Tamandua tetradactyla: one gene and its partner. The protein of the gene in region 1 purifies or fractionates together with the protein of each later gene. This does not show direct contact. Links are inferred from orthologs where the notes say so. Each region holds a gene or a part of one and is shown in the gene's direction. Other genes may lie near its edges.

Evidence for each region.
Region 2: the proteins of MED13 (region 1) and CDK19 purify together in Homo sapiens (affinity purification with mass spectrometry; 6 studies listed by BioGRID and IntAct, counting the BioPlex papers as one, with this or other methods). This does not show direct contact. The link is inferred for Tamandua tetradactyla from reciprocal best matches to the Homo sapiens genes MED13 and CDK19.

Annotation. Positions count from the first base shown.
Region 1 is NC_135332.1:41,327,459-41,335,813, forward strand, and holds the start of MED13 (mediator of RNA polymerase II transcription subunit 13), read left to right. Parts: upstream 1-4,420; 5' UTR 4,421-4,501; coding exon 4,502-4,567; intron 4,568-6,407; coding exon 6,408-6,642; intron 6,643-8,355. UniProt on the Homo sapiens protein: Component of the Mediator complex, a coactivator involved in the regulated transcription of nearly all RNA polymerase II-dependent genes.
Region 2 is NC_135331.1:169,435,599-169,444,225, reverse strand, and holds the start of CDK19 (cyclin-dependent kinase 19), read left to right. Parts: upstream 1-4,998; 5' UTR 4,999-5,196; coding exon 5,197-5,324; intron 5,325-8,627.

The DNA of each region.
Region 1 (8,355 bases):
CACAGGGCAAGTCAAGATCAAGGACTTGGCCTACCAATTTAGATATCCCTAATGTTTGACATAGTATCAGGGGTTTCCCCAGTGGTAAAGTTTAATAGTTCCATATTTTTTCTCTCATGGGTCTGCTTATTTTTATATTCAACAAAATAGTGACTGTGTGTTCACTAAATAAAATGTTTTGTAATTCCTCAGCTTTTTTTTTCTATTGAATTAGGTACAATATTACATGATTAACATGACCTTAAGAGAATATCGTCTCCAGGCTCAAGACCACTCACTCCATGGTTTAATTGGTCTTTAGCTTTCAGCTTTTGACTTGAGACTTGCACTATTTTGTATAGTAGCCTCTAGTCACAGGGCATTTGAAATGTGGCTAGGCTAAATTGAAATGTGCTGTAAGTGTAAAATATACGTGAATTTTGAAGGTTTGGTAGCCCCTCTCCCTAAAAAAAAGAATGCAAACTATCTCAATTTTTTTTTATATTGATCACATGTGAAGTGATTTTATTACTGATCTATTGGGTTAAATAAATGATAGTAATTAAAATTAATTTCACCTATTTCATTTACCTTTCTAGTGTGGCTACTGAAAAAGTTAAAATTACTTAAGTAGCTGTTATCATATTTCTCTTGGACAGCATTGCTCTGGAACCTGGGATTTTTCAGAATCAGGTAGGAAGCATTAGTTCTAAGAGCAGATATTGCCCTTTGCATGGACTTTTTCAGACCTCAGGTGATGCAACTCTGTCACGCTTCCTGCAGGCCAGGCGATAGTTTGCAAGCCCCTGCTTCCACTGTGCCATTCAGAAAGGAGTCACTTAAAGGCTGAAAGATAAAGAACAGTTTTAAATGTAGATCACTGAGCAAATCCACATCTCAATAGGTGTAGAAGACAGTAGGTGATTATCAACCTAAAGTGACTGCTAAAATTCACCTTAAAATTCCTGATTGGCTCCCCTATTTTATTTGGAGATTATCCCTTTTAGTCTTCACAACACTAACATTTAGATGTTATTATTACATCTACTTTTTGCAGATGGATTAATTGAAGCCAAAGAGCTAATAAGCATGATATAGAATTTGACCCTAGGTGGTCCAAATGTCAAAGTGTTATATCTAGCAACATTCTTAGCTTCTTATATATCCTGGGCCTTGTTCATATATGACCTGACACATACTAGATTGTCAATAAATATGTGTAGTAAAAATATATACATAAACATATGACCTCAATCATCTAGTAAAAATGTGCATGGGAAAAAGTCAGAAAGGAAATACATCAAAATGTTAATACATGTCTAATTATGAATGGTGACATGGGCATTTTTTGGTAATGGACACTTGTGTTCTCATCTTTACACTTTTCTATACTTTTCACACTTTTGACAATGTACATGTATTGTTTTTATTTATTTTAATTACTCCTTAAATCACATGAATTGTCATGTTAATAGAATCTTGATGGTTACTGATATGCTCGCTGTGTGCTGCTGTTATTCTCTTCTCCTCTTCCCCAGGATGTGCCCATTCCCCTTAGCATGGGGGTCCCTCTCCACTACTTCATTTCTCCCTTCTTGCTCTCTCCTGTTCCTTTCCATGATCCTTCCTCATATTTTTTCCTCTGGGTCTTCCTCCTTCCTTGTCTCTCCCTTCATTTTGAGAAGATTGACGCTCAAATGAAAGGTCAATCAAACGTTACCTCCTACCAGGTAGGTTTCAGGCAAATTCTTCCTCCTTTAGGGTTCTAGAGGAAGATACTCAAAGTTGGGAATAGGGGCAATGGAGAGGGAAACTTCTAAGAAATAGATAAATTTTGGCTAAAATAACATGAGAGAAAACCTATTTTAAACTGATAAAAGCAGTGGGAACAAAGGTCTGTGGATTCTTTCTGGAAAGAGACTAGAGGAGAGATGAACAGAAGGCCCCTCACCTTATTTGGTCTGGGGATTGCTGGCTCCTGGTGTTGATATTCAGTGAGGAAGGATCTGACCTCAGTTGATTTGAGCTCCTGGATTGAATTAGTCCTGGTTGTGTAATTGGCTTTGATATGTGACCTTTAGATTTGAATTGGGTTTAATAAGATTTAACTGCTTCAAGGGGCTTTATAAGAATTCGTTTTATCCTTCAAATCTGAGTTCAAATGCTACCTGCTTTATGACACCTTCTCAGACTTTGGTGCTCCTCCTCCAGCGCTCCTGTTGTGCCATAGTTGATACATACCTCCTTCAAGCAATTATTCTCATTGTATTTTATATTATTTTCTAAGAAATGTTTCCTTTATTGCCTCTTTTCAGGAGTCTTGAGGGACAGGCAGGTATAGTATTCAGATTTGTATCCCGGGCTTAGCACAGGTCAGGAAGATACTCAATTGAGCCAGCAGGTGCCCAATGACAATTTAAAAACTGTATTAGTAGCTAACATTTAGTAAGTGCTAAGGCAAGCACTAAAATTTCCTTGTTTCATTCACCAACCATTTCAGAAGGGAAGTACTTTTATTATTCCCATTGTACAACGAGAAAACTGAGAATAAGAGAAATTAAGCAAGGTCAATTTAATAAGTGGCAGAACATTTTTTACAGGTTTTTAACTCCCAGATATGGGCTTTAACCACTATGAATGAACAAATGGGTGGATGAAGGAATGTTTTTAATTCCCTTGAGGAAGAAGGGGCATGGAAGAGTACACCATTTATTTTAGAGACAATTATGACTTAAATTAGAGTTAGTTCTAAGTCTACTGACGTTTCTAACTTCTGAATCATCTCTTTTTCTTTTCTCTCTTGTAACCCTCTATTTAAAACTCAAACTCTCAGGTAAAATGTTTTGAACACCTACATTGAAGTGTAATTGTGCGTTCTATGAGAAAGGGAACTAACATTTTATTTGGTTTCCACGTCTTACTTTTCATTCATTCGTGAATTTACAGATGTCAAGCACCAACTGTGTGCTAGAAAACTTTTTAGGTACCAAGGATGCAGCAGTAAACAAAAAGTCCCGGATCTCACATAGACTGCACTCTAGTGTATAGTCATATACACTGGTTCGGTTATTCCTTCCAAAAGCCGCATGAGGTAATGATGACAGCAATAGTAGCTAACTCTTAACAAGCTTGTCTGTACCCAGCACTGCCGATGTGCATTACATGTATTTAATCATCACAACAATTCTATGAGATAGAGGCGATATTTCCCCCATTTTACAGATGAGAAAATTGAGACACAAAGAGGTAAGCGACTTGCTCAAGGTTCAGTGCAGTATAGATCTAATTTCCAAGCCAGTAACCACAAAGCTTTATTGTTCCGCGTATGTTTCTTCCTTAACATCACACGACTTTTAGCTTGCTGAGTTCTGTCTCCATCCAGATTGTCCTGATTCCCAAGCCCAGGGGTTTCCTCTGCACCCCAGCGGCCTCCTGGAATAAATGAGAACGCCTTGGAATTTTTGCAACACTTTCTCTTCCAAAGAATTCAAACTGATTTCCACGTAATTCTCATAGATTTGTGATGTGAGTCTTCCTATACTGTATATTCCACTGCAGGAAGAAAGATTGGGCCTGGGACCCGGATCATTTTACACTGGCTGGGGCACCCAGCAGATGGCGCTATCTTAGTAGCCACCAGCTGGCTGCCCTGTCCCCCGGGCTCACTGCTTCCCCCGAAAGCGTCCCGGCCCTCCCTTACTCCCTTCTCTCTCCCCCTCCCCACGGAGCCCAGGCCCACGTGACCTCAAGACGGCCAATGGGCGAGCAGAGAGGGCGAGCTGGTCCCTGTGGCCGCCATTAAAGCGAAGGGAAAACCCGTGAATTCGGATTAAAGGGGGAAAAAACATCGTCCGCTGGGTCCACAAAATGGGGGAGACTACGGCGTCCAGGCAGTGAGGCCGCAGGAGAGCAGATGTTAGGCCGGCTCAGCCGAGGGAGGACACGAAGACACAGCCAGAGAATGGTGTGAGCCCGCAGACGCCGCCACCACCTCCGCCACTGAGGAGACTCTGGGTTTAAGGACATCGCCGCTGCCGGGCCGGGGGCCTGAGCTTCTCTCCTGGTTCTCGCCTTCCCCACCCCTCTGTGACCGCCTCCCCGCCAGGGAGAACCTTCCAGGGCTCGGGCTCTGCGGTCTTGGACCTGATTTTAATTATTTATTGTGTAATTTATTTTTCTTGTGGAAGGGGCACACATCCCCTCTGTCCCCCAGAGAGGGACGAACGTCCGCGGGTTCCGCGGCGGCCGCAGCCCGGCCGGCGGGGTGAGTGCGCCGCGGCCCTCCCGCCTCCGGACCTCGGCCCGGGAGGGCTGGGTGCCGGCCGGGCGGCGGGGGCTGCTCGTGGCGGCGGGGGGGTTGGTGGGGAGGGCGGGCGGCCCGGCGGCCTCCTCTTCCACCGCCCCCCCCAACCACCACCCCCCCCCCCGCCCTCCCCGGTGTCTGTGTTTCTCTCTCTGGTCGGAGGCGGCGGTAATGGCGGATGGTGGGTTGTGGCGCCGGCGGCGGCTGCTGTGAGGGACGATGAGTTCCTCCTTCGTGCCGAACGGGGCCAGCCTGGAAGATTGTCACTGTAACCTCTTCTCCCTGGTGAGTGCCCGGGCCGCGAAGAGCGGGGCGGTGGGGGAGGGGCCGCGAGGTGCGCCCTTGGGCCGTGGGGGAGGGGGTCCGGGTCTGATCCAGATGCCCGAGTCCCCGGCGTAGGCCCAGTCGAGCCGGCGCCGTGGCGAAGCCCCGCACCCAACCCGGGGAGACGGCGTTGGCTCAGTCACAGTCCCGGGCTCTTTTAGGAGTGTCAGGTTTTATTTCTTGTCTTGTTTCGGAGTCTTCTATTTTTCTGCACCATAGTCTGTCTTTTAACTTGAGTCTCCTTATTTGCCAGGAAGCTAACATTTCCCTCAGTGGTTTTTTGCCAAACTGTTGCTTTTCTTCCTATCGATCCTGTTATCCCTTCTTCCAGTTTTCATTATTGCTTGGTCTTTCACCGCCTTTATTCCTCACATTGGTAATTCTGTTTTCCCCCTAATAAACAGGACCCCAGAATTTGGGCATGAAAAGCTCGTCTTGGCTTTACGTTTTTTATTATGTGTCACACTATCACTCATTGAGTGAGTTCAGATCTTTGTGTAAAGACCAGTAGGTGCCATTTCATATGTTTTCTTTTTGAACTTTGAAAACAGTTTGCCATTTTGACAATTTCTAGCCATATTGCCTTTATTAGAATATTATGTTTGTGTGAGCGTGAAGGGGACTAACGGAGGAGGTGTGGTTTTGAACTAAACGTTTCTATATTTGCCTGTTTTGCTTGCGTTTTTAGAATATTTTGAGCCGGCTGCTCCTTGTTTTATTAGAAAGAAAGTCTGGGGAAGCTGGACGTTGAGAATGACAATTCTGTAGGTTGGTCCATGTCTGGAAACATCCAACAGTTAAGACTTTCAAAAGTACCAACTGTTGCAAATGTCTAACCCAGAATTGGACAATAGCTTAGTTTCATCAGTGACTTAAAGTTTGAGTGACTTTCTTTTTTCATTTTATTCCTGCACTGTGAGAAATATTAAGAGTATATGATAGGTAAGTGAGTTGAGTGGGCGGAGCACAACTAGTTTAAATTGCCAGTCATGTATCAGCAGTTTCATTTTTGGCACCTTATGCTTTGCACCTTTAAGTCAAATTGAACAATTATTGAATTCTCTCTGGATAAACGGAGCTCTTTATTGTCTTTCCCCCTTGCAAAGTAAGTTGGTTTTCTTGTAGTGTCCAGTAATCAGCATCTCTTCAGTTGTAAAAAGGCAAACATGTTAGGTTTTAAATTTCTATCATCTCCAACTCAGTCTATTTTTGGTACTTTTAGGATCGGGTTCTTTGAAGATAGACTAGCACCAATCTGACAGTTCTTTTTGAGCAGCTATTTGACTTTTCCTAAACGGGTGTGTGAAGAATTAACAAGAATTTTTTCAGGAAACATTCATATGTCTTTTCATTAGAGTCATGACTTCTGTAAACGTGGAAAGAATCTTTAAGAAGTAATTTTCAGTTAAAGGTTTGGCCCTACAGGAAAAAATCTGATTGATTATTATAGACTTAGGACAGAGAAGAAGTGTTTTCTCTGGAGCAGTGTTAAAGTACATGTTTATATTTAATATTTAATATTGTTTCTTTTATTTCTACTTGTGACATTTATTGACTTGTTACTCAGTTACTTGAGTTATTTTTTAATTGGTTTTATCCTTTTCATTAAATTCTTGGTTGTTGAATTATCAGAATTATAAAACCTCTCTTTTTTTGTCCTTTTAAGCCACTTTCTAGCCACTTAAGCATATTGCTATGAAAATTTGCTATGTCTTAATGAAACTAAGGAACTTCTGTAGTGATTACTTTTGACTTTGAGTGAATGTACACTAATTTAAAAATCGCATTTTTCTCCCTCCAGGCTGACTTGACAGGAATTAAATGGAAAAGATATGTATGGCAAGGTCCAACTTCTGCCCCTATTCTGTTTCCGGTGACAGAGGAAGACCCCATTTTGAGCAGTTTTAGTCGTTGCCTTAAGGCAGATGTACTTGGTGTCTGGCGGCGAGATCAAAGACCTGGAAGAAGAGAATTGTGGATATTTTGGTGGGGTGAAGATCCTAATTTTGCTGATCTTATTCACCATGACTTATCAGGTGAAAGCAACTTATTTCCAACTAATGACGTAACAATGTTGCATAATTTTTCTGAAATAACATTGGTATTACAAATTAAGATTAAAATTTTAAAAAGTTTTATTTATTTTTGTGTGTGTGGAACACTTAAGTATGAAGCCAGATAAAAGTTCAGCTTCATGTTTTATTTCACTGTGGTTATTTTATTGACGTTATCCATATATATTATGGCAGGTTTTAAGCCTTGAATGACTTTTTTCCTTCTACCACCCTGTTCCCTTCTGAATTTCTCACAGGCATGTAGGGCCCAGGGAAAAGCCATATTGTATTAACCTAAGAAAAATGAAATGGTGGAGCGTAAAGTTCCTAACAAAGTCATGTAAGACTTTTGAAGCCAAGTTAACTCACCATTAAATCAATTCTGCCACTGTTGTCTTCTGCATGAATATGTGGATAATTGTAGGAGTATGTAGATATGCTGTGTTGTAATTTACTCATGTTTTTCAAGACATATAGTTATTTTGTAACTGTTATTTGTTACTTCATTTTTATTTTTTTACATATGAAGGTATATGTTAATTTTGTTATTCTTGGAAAGTGATTATTTTGAGATACTGTTACCTCAAGGACTATCATTAATGAGATGAGTGTCACTTTGTTTAACTTTTATAGGACATGGGGTCATAATCCAAAAGTTTATACAGAAATAATTTAATGTGAGCAAGTCATTGTGGTTACTTCCTTCTTATTCTCTAGACTTTTAGGACCAAATGTTACTTTTAGAAAGAGAAACTAGCTTTTCAAGTAATTACTGAAGTTTGTCTTTATCTTAGATTATAAGAGTCAGTGTTAACTAAGTATTTTTGCTGATAGTAATATAAATAGTTGTGTGCAACAGAGTATCAGAGGCTTTAGCAAGATGGTTTGATATTGATTCTTGACTGTTAAATTTATGAATTTTAGGTAGTTTAAAAGGAAGCAATTCTTATTTGAAATTGAGTACTCTGAAGTTGATGTTGTTACCATTTGACCTAAAGGGCCTATTTTCTCTTTAGATGAAATGTAATCTAAGTGTCCTTATTTGCAACAAGTACATAGTGAGTGTTGTGGCTAAATGTTTGTATGCTTTGATAGTTGCTTTTTACCTTCTAAAGAACACACTCTTCAGTGTTAATCCTTATTTCTTGAGAGTGACTGCAATTAGATTATGATGAAACTTTGCAAATATATTCCCCGCTGGAGAGTCTAGGCCTGTTTTATATATGTAAAATGATGTATGTAAGTGTTTATGTGTTTGTGTGTGTATATATATATGTGTGTGTGTGTGTATGTATATATGATTTATATGCATGTCAAGATATAAAGTTCCTTAGTGGCGTCAGCAAGATACTTTCTGATAGTCATGCCAGTTTTATTCTTTCATTGAGTTGGGTATGCTTGAGTTATTTTAATCTTTATTGTGAATGGTCATAAAAACCACTTTACTAAAATGTTTAGGGACTGATGATGTTGATAAATGATCTATAATGCTGACTTGGGAGTTTCAGTCTTCTTAAAGTTGGAAGAGCATCTGAACAGACCATTTTTTAAGATTTCATGGGATACTTTTTGTATACTCAATTATAATTTTATAGTATATTATACAGTATTTAGTTTTAGTTTTTGTCTTTTTTACTATACTGTATGATAGGGGTCACATTTCATTCTTTTTCCATGTGACTATCCCGCTAATGC
Region 2 (8,627 bases), on another chromosome or scaffold:
ATCTTGCATTCATGCTCGACATTTGTTACAATTGATGAAAGCACATTTTTATAACTGTACTATTAACTATAGTCCATGGTTTAATGTAGGGTTCACTGGATTTTTTTTCTTAATTTTTATTTTGTTACCATATAAACAACCTAACATTTCCCCTTTTAACACAAGAGTGCTGTCAACTGAGGACTATCTGTAGCAGTACAACACCTGGGAAGAATTCTTCTTTTAGTACTAAAGGGGAACTGAAAGGCACATCACAGATGTGGTAGATTGAATTATGGACCCCAACAGAAACAAGTTCTTTATCTTAATACATATTCCTGTGGCTATGAACCCATTTATAAATAGGACCTGTAAAAAATGTTAGTTTTAGTTAAGATGTGGCCCAAATGAATTAGGGTGGGGCTTAATCCATTTTCATAGAGTCCTTTTAAAGCAGAAGAAAAGAGACAAGGAGAAGCTGGAAGACAGTGGCAACCAGGCACAAAGAGATCGAGGACATCACCATGCGATGGGCAGGTGGGGGGCGGGGCAGGGATGCAAGCCAAGGAACCCCAAGGATTGCAAAAAGCTAAGACCAGAACACTACAGACTTTGGAGATGAAGCCTGGCCTTGCTGACACCTTGATTTGGGACTTCTAGTGTCTGAAACTAAGAGAAAAGAAATTCCAATGTCCCTTGTTTAAGCCAATTCATTGTGTGGTATTTATCACAGCAGCTGGGCAAATTTAGACCGCAGGAGAATAAATGTAGTATAAATTCCTAGATGGAATTACAGGGTCTTAGCACACATACATTTTTAATTTTGATAGATGTTGCTAAAATCAAAGACTTATACATATTGATATATACATACATTTAGTGATGTACACTTTCACTGACAACACAGGAAAGTATCCATTTCCCCATATTCTTGATAACAAAGAGTGTTATCAAACTTTTTGAGTTTGTAATTAAGCTTTTTATAATCCGTATTTGATTTTTTTTCCTACCTACACATTTATGACTTTCCATTTACCCCAAGAATATATTCAGTAAGTCCTAGCTGTGCAGTTTACTAGTTGTCTGTTTGTTCACATATAAAATTGGAAAAACAGTAGAACACATCTTATAGGGATATTTTGAACATATTTTATAGGGATATTTTCACATTTAAATGATATAATGAATGCAAAAATCCCATGTTTACATAGAGCAAGCAACTGAAAGATCTCCATGCTCCACCATCATACACTGATGACTTCCAAAGCCCTACACATTTAGGCTTGATCTCTGATTTACAGGTAAAACTATTCCCCTGCTTAACTGTTACTTCTATCTTGATGCCAAGCAGGCACTTCAAAGTCACGATGTACGAAACCAAACTCATCATCTTTCTCTCAGAAATTCCTCCTACTCCTTTCCAAAGGTAAAATCTGATTACTGAATTAAAAATCCTAGAAGTTATCTTGGATTCTTCCATGTTTTTTTAACCCCACATTTAATTACCTACCAAGTCTACTGAATTTTATTCCTACATAATCCTGGTATCTGCCTTTTTTTTCATATTTTATGGTTCAGACTTTGTATTCAATCAGCACTAACTGTGGTGGCCCAGGGCCCAGCCCCCCTCCTAAACAGCCCTAATACACCTGCTTTAGGAGAGAACAAAGGTCAAGAAAGTAAACAATCTCCCTGGAGGGGGAGGAATGTAACCACAGATGTAAAAACAGTATTGATTGTATCTGAGTCTTAAACACTAAACTTAGTAAAACATCAGCTCTTAGGCCCCTTCAATGATTATTCTAGAGACTCAATGGCCTCATACTACATGGAATGTCTTTGTTCTAAAATCATATATTACTCTTTGTGTGTGTGTGTGTATGAACCCACACACACACACCCTATTCCTTGTGGAGTGCTATTTCTTCAAACCAGCCACCACTGAGACCCTCTCCTGTTTTTAAATCCCAATAAATCTACATATATGTCTGTGCCTGGCATGTTTTTCAGTCTTGCATCAGCACCAGCCTGTGCTCTGTGTGACTCAGTCTGGGCCCAAACACTAATGTAATAACTTTCTTCTTACCTTCCTTCAGTTTGTCTGGAACAGTGTTGTCAGAAAGATCTTCTGAATACAAAAGACTGATTTACATTACTCCTTAGCTCAAATGTCTTTAATACCTCCCATATTGCCTATGAAATCTTACACCTCTGCTTGCTAAATCTACCTTGTCATAACTTGACTTCTAATCATCTATCTGTCCAGTCTTCTCTTCCTTGACTTCTTTTTTTTTATTTTAACATAAATTAACTCATTTATTACAGACTAGAGATGTTTCAAATTGTTGAGCTTCCAATGTCTTTCATCTCCGCCAGTCCTCTCACGGTGACTCAAGCACCTCCGGTGACTGTTTTCAAGCAAGAACCACACTGAAAGCTCCTCACAGCTCTTCTGTTTATTTTGGTTTTACCACAGAAGAAACATGTGCGCTTAGCGTGCTAGCTGATTTCAACTTTCTTCACCATTTTCCTGAGGGAGGGGCCATCCGCGTCCAGCATGTACCTACCATTCCAACCAGCTTGGTGCATTTAGCCATGTTGAGGCAAACCAACTCCAAGCCCAGAGAATCCCATCTCTCTTCCTATCCACCTCATTTTCCTGCCTTGGTCTGTTTTATTTCAACTTTTTGCTTATCTTAGAAGATATGCTGTCTCATAATATATGTATTGCTGCTCTTTCTGAAATAATTCCCCTGCTTCCTACTCCCTCATTTGTCTGCCAGGCAAAGCCCTACCCAAACTTTAAATTTTAGCTCAAAACTACCTCCTTTGTGACACCTACCCCGACGCACCTAGATTTAAGAACTCCTATTACTGTTTGTACCCACGGTTTATTTATTATTATTTTTAAATTTTGAAATACTTTCCAACTTACAGAGCAGTTACAAAAATAATATGCACCCCATACAGAGAAACCCAATATACTTCTACAACTCATACCAAGATGTAAAATTTTGCAACATTTACTATATTATTAAATTTATCTATCTCTCTAACTATCAACCTACCTACACACCTACCTATTCATTCTCTGTACACTTCAGTGTAGGTTGTATTCTCATGTTCCCCCAACATTTAATATGACTATGTACATTTCCCAAGAACAAAGGTATTCATTATGTAACTAGCTTAAGTGCAAAAACCAAGTTCAAGAAATTTAACATTGATATAAATCTTAGTCTATATTCTACATTTTTTATATGTCCCATTAATGTCCCTTAGGGCCTTTTCTCCTTCCTTGCTAGGTCCCATCCTGGATCATGTACTGCATTTGTCAGTCTCTTTAGTTGCACTTTCTTCTCTTTTAATTGTGGGTATATATATAAATATATTATATATATATAAAACATAAACTTTTCCATCGCAACCACTCCCACCCACACCATTTAATGAACTTAATCACATTCACAATATTGTGATCCACGCACCACTTTTCATTACTCGAACTTTTCCATTTTCTCAAACAAAAACCCTACATCCATTAAGCATTAATCCCCATACCCCCTGAAACAGCTTTTTAATGCTTTTATGTTACTTCAAAAGATTTTAGTTCCCAGTCAGGAAAAGAACAGTTTTCATCTGGTATCTCCAGCACTGATTACAGTGCCAGGCAATAAGAGAAACTCAGATACTACTTGATTGCAAATATCATCAAGAGCTGAAGAAGTTTCCTAGGGAGGAGCTGTTGTAAATAAACGATCCTGTTTCCTCCCTCTAGTTTTCCAGGCTTCTTTTAAAACTTAGTAGGCAGGACTCACTCTTCGCTTTCTTTACCACTTGAGTTAGCATTGACTATTCCTTCCTTTGGGTTCCCACTGAATGCGGTACCTGAATCCTATCCTAGCACCTATCACGTTTATGTTCATCTGTATGCCAAACATACACGATTTCATGGACGTAGTAATGAAATAAATCATAGTTCACACCGATTAAAGAGACATCCTTGAACTTTCTAGGACACCCTCATCACTTTGCATACACCATAAAACCCCCTTTTCTATACAACCAAAACGATTGTTATTTAAAACGCTGCATCCTTCAGGCACTACGGGAATCGCAGATGTTGGGGAAGGTGGGTGATGCGAGGAGGGGACCGACTACAGCGCCTAGAATAGGGTGATTGGCTACTGGGGCTTAGAAGTTATATCTTCTCCTCAAACCAAGGCAACAACTAGGAAACCGCTGTGAATTCCGCATTTGAAATACGGTTTTTGCATTGTAAAGAAAAAAAGATTAGCCTATCAGGAAGAACTCAGCACAACGAATTTCCAATCACGAGCGGGAAAGAAGCCAAAGACTGGGGATACCCAGGCACCAACAAGGACGTTATTCTCTAGTCTCCGCCAATGAGCGGCCGGACGGTGGCGGGGCAACAGGCGGACCAAATGCCGTAGCAAAAACAATCTGCTGTACAACTGTTCCAACCACACTACTCGTCTCCCAAACCATCGGAGCAAAGTTCTGAGCAAGGCACTTGTTAAATACTTTCCACTCTTCTACTCGCCCGGGGACAGTCATAGTGGAGTATGACACTTCCACCAGAACAAGGGCTATCTTGAGGTCAGTACCCATAGGACCGCGGTGAAATAATACACCGCAACTTTCAGCTCTCCACCTTCACAGGAACTGGGAGTGCACGGCTACCTGAGGGGGTGGGGCGGTCCCAGTGCGCAGGCGTGCGTGCCTTGTTGGGGGCGAGGCTGTGAAAGCCCAAGACAGCATGGGAATTGTATTTCTTTCGCGGGACAAGCCTCCGTCGCTCCTGAGGCCTTCGGGACTGCATTTCCCAGGAGTCTTCGCGGCCTCGGGGGGCGGGCTGGTTTGTTAATGAGCTCGAGAAAGCCGTGGCGCGGCCCACCAGGTTCCAAAACAAGGAAATGAAGGGGGGAGGCGGGACTGGGGCTGCCTGCGGGAGCCGCCGCCGCCGCGGAGGAGGAGGAGGAGGAGGAGGAGGGGGTGGAGGAGGTGGCTGCCGCGGCCGCCGAGGAACCCCTTGCTGAAGGCGGACCGTGGAGTGGCGGGCGGCGCGCGCGCGCGCGCCCGAGAGGCGGCTGTTGGAGAAGTGGAGCGGCGGTCGCGGGGGGAGGAGGAGGAGAGGAGGAGGGACTGAGCGGCGGCGGCCCCCGCGTCCCGGTGCCTCTATGGGGGAAACAGACAATGGATTATGATTTCAAGGCGAAGCTGGCGGCGGAGCGGGAGCGGGTGGAGGATTTGTTTGAGTACGAAGGGTGCAAAGTGGGACGCGGCACCTACGGGCACGTCTACAAGGCGAGGCGGAAAGATGGGTAAGAGCAGGGGCGGGGGGAGTAGGCTCGCTCGGGTCCTCGCCCTGCCCGCGACCCGGCGGGATAGGTGGGTGGGAGCCCTGTCGGGCTGTGCCGCGGGGCGCGGCGGAGGTGGTCGCCGGGCCGCGTCCCGGAGCGGACTCTGAGGGAGGCTTCCTCTGCGCGCCTTCCCGCGAGGCCCCGTCGCGCCCCTCGAGCTCCGGCGGCGCACTCCTGTCGGGGGCCGTCGGTGCGGTACCGGAGGGCGCTCTCCGCGCGTGCCTGGAGCCGCGGCGGACTCGAGTTAGAACCTCGGTCGGAGGTGGAGTTTGTGGGGTCTGGTCTCCTGGGGAGACGCGGAGGGCGGGGAGAGCTCCGCCAAGGAGTTGCCGCTCCGGCCCTGGGTTGGTGACGGTCGTTGTTGAACTTCCAATCGGCTGAGCCCCTCCCGGGGGCGGCGGTTTGAAACCTCGTAGCGGAGCCGGCCGGGCGGCCGAGCGCCGGGGTCCCCGCCAGCCTCCGGGGTCTGACCCGTCGGCATCGCCACCTCCAGACACGACCTCCGCCCCGGGGGCCAGCCTGCCCGAGTTGAGCCTTCAGCACAGCCCTTTCTGACCCAGTCGTGTACCCGGTGACTTCTTGACCCCTCCTCGCCCGCCTCAGATTTCGCATTCTCAAGCATTCAGAGTTCCGCACGTTCCCTCGAATGTGGGACCTCCCTAGAGACTAACCCGATTTTGTGCGCCAGAATTTCAGAGTTGGTCCAGGTTCTCTGGTACCCCCGCTCCCCCCCCCTCCATTCTCCCCCACTTTGGGTGCTCTTCTGTCCTCCACTCTATCCTCTGCCAGGTGACTGCGAGCTGGAGCTTACCGGGCACCTAGAGTAACGAGAAAGAAACACGGGGCGACAGAGTTGGGCCTAAACCTTTGTTTTCTTGGAAGTTTAGGGAGAACTGTAGAACCCCCTAGGAATGTTCCCTTAGGAGATGAGCTGAGTTATCAGTTGACATACGTACATCCTGAGGGCAGACGAGCTCTTACTGCAGGACAGGTGGAACCAAGTCCTTGGCTGCGAAATGTAGGTTTAAACCAGTTGTTATCCTATGTCCAATCCTTGCAGGAATTCCCCTCCCCCAGGTTAGGGAGCCAAGAAAGATCTGTCTGGCCCCCTTATTCTCTACATTCGGTCATACTGTAGGAAGGAGAGTTTTAAAGAATTTCTGAATAAAAACATTTCTGAATAAACTGATTACAAGCCGCTTTGACATTAGTAGATTTGTAGTGTTGTTTATCGTTCTGTGCATTCTGTAGCAATTTGATATGGTTGATTTATGAATGCTAGGACCAAAGTAGGAAGAGTGTGTGTGTGTGTGTGTGTGTGTGTATGTATGTACGTATGTTCCTGCGTGTGTGCACACGATCGTGCTATTGAACATAACTTTATAAAGGGTGTTATCATAAAGTGTTGGGAGGCGTTTGCACTCCTTACCCCGTCTAGATTGATTATTGGTGTCAGGAATTATGAGACTTGACACTTGAGAAAGTGGTTTCTGTGAAAGTATGTTGGAAAATACAAAGCACTATACAAATGTAATGGACTATTATTTTTGCAGATATCTTTTTTCTCATGTCAGAGGCCCTATACTACTCAGTTATTTGTAAACTTTTCTCAATTCTTTTAATCACCAGGTAGTCTTGAATGAATATCATGGAATATGATATTCATTTTATTTTTTTTTAATTTAGTTTTGTTTTTTGAATATCCACTCGTTACACTGTTATTTTTGTAGGAGTCATATATATTTGGGGAAAGCACATCAAGTTTTCTTATTTGGACATTGATGTTACAAAATAAATCAAAAGGTGGTTCTTTTCACACATGCTTTGTAGTATATATTGTCTAGAATTTTATAATGTATTTTAATTTTTTGTTAGCTTCTTTTTATCAAACTTTTCAGAAAAATTAAAATTTTTAAAATTTTAATTCAGAGTTGTATCTGTATAGCACAGACTTACAACAAAAAACCCAGATAATTTAATTCCCGCCTCTGTTTGTCCTTTTTGAATATTTTTCCTTTAATAAAGTCCTTGATTCAAATACACTTCCTTCTTGAGTGAAATTTATTTGATTAGAAATAATAAAGTTGCTTTAAGAGATTAACAAGGTTTCATCACAGCAGATTAGTTTATGTATCTTCAAAACAATATGCTTTTATTTTTTTTCTAACTAGGATTTAGAAGCATTAGCTTAAATCACTATATTGCATTTTAGAGAAACCATACATTTTTTTCCTGGATCTAGAATGTGGTTGAGAGTTGAGGCATTACAGTAAACACATCTCTTGTGGGCTCATAGGACGTTATTTTTTTATTTTATTAGTTTTATGATTTCAGCTATTTGAAAGAACAGAAAGTTTTTAGTGATGGCTCTGAACTGATGCAGAATTCCTGAGTAAAGGATTTTACACCCTGATCATGATGTTTCCAGATTTTATTTTGGTTGACTCAGAAAAATGTATAATGCTATTTTAGGAAACAAGAGAAATCACATGGTGTTGTTAAAGAGAAATTATTCTGTTGTATATAATATATAGTTAAAAAATTGTTCAGGTCTGTAGACGAATCATTGGAAGAAGTAACTTAATAGAAAATATCATTAGAAGAGCCTCTGCTTAAAATTTGATACTATAGTTTACAAAATCTTAAAATAGTTTTTCTCTTGAAATGTGGCTTTAATTTAGGCCATATAAATTATGCTATACAAATTTATAACCTAGATCTCTGTCTAGGGTTTTCACCTTTAATACAAATGTTATTTGTTCCACCCCCATTTATTCCCACCCCCACTTTTCTTTTTTGAAAAGAGTCTTTTGATCCAAATGTCCTGTTTTAAAAATCAGACTTAAAAATTACTCTTGAAGAGAAACAATTTTAGAATATTTCTAGAGGTTTTTTAGTATGAACAAAAGTTTGTAAACATTTTTCTTTTAACATTGGTAAGAAAAGGCACATGTTAACAATTAATGGTTTCAAATCTCAAATCCCTGTTTCTCAAGTTGGAAGTTCTTTTTGTTTGGATTATTACAGGAATATTGTTTAAAAAGTTCTTTCATCAATACATTTCAGACAAATGTGATTCCAATAGGGTAGTGGTATGTCTGAAAAGTTATACCCAACAGTGGCTGTTGTTCAATTTAGCAGATACTCATTTAGTCCTTTAAATTACTCCAGAAAAAGAATTGCTCCTTATTGGATTTGTGTTTTTGAAAGATACTTAGTAACTGAAAGTGAAATGGCTGACAGAGACATCTTACAGAGTTTCAG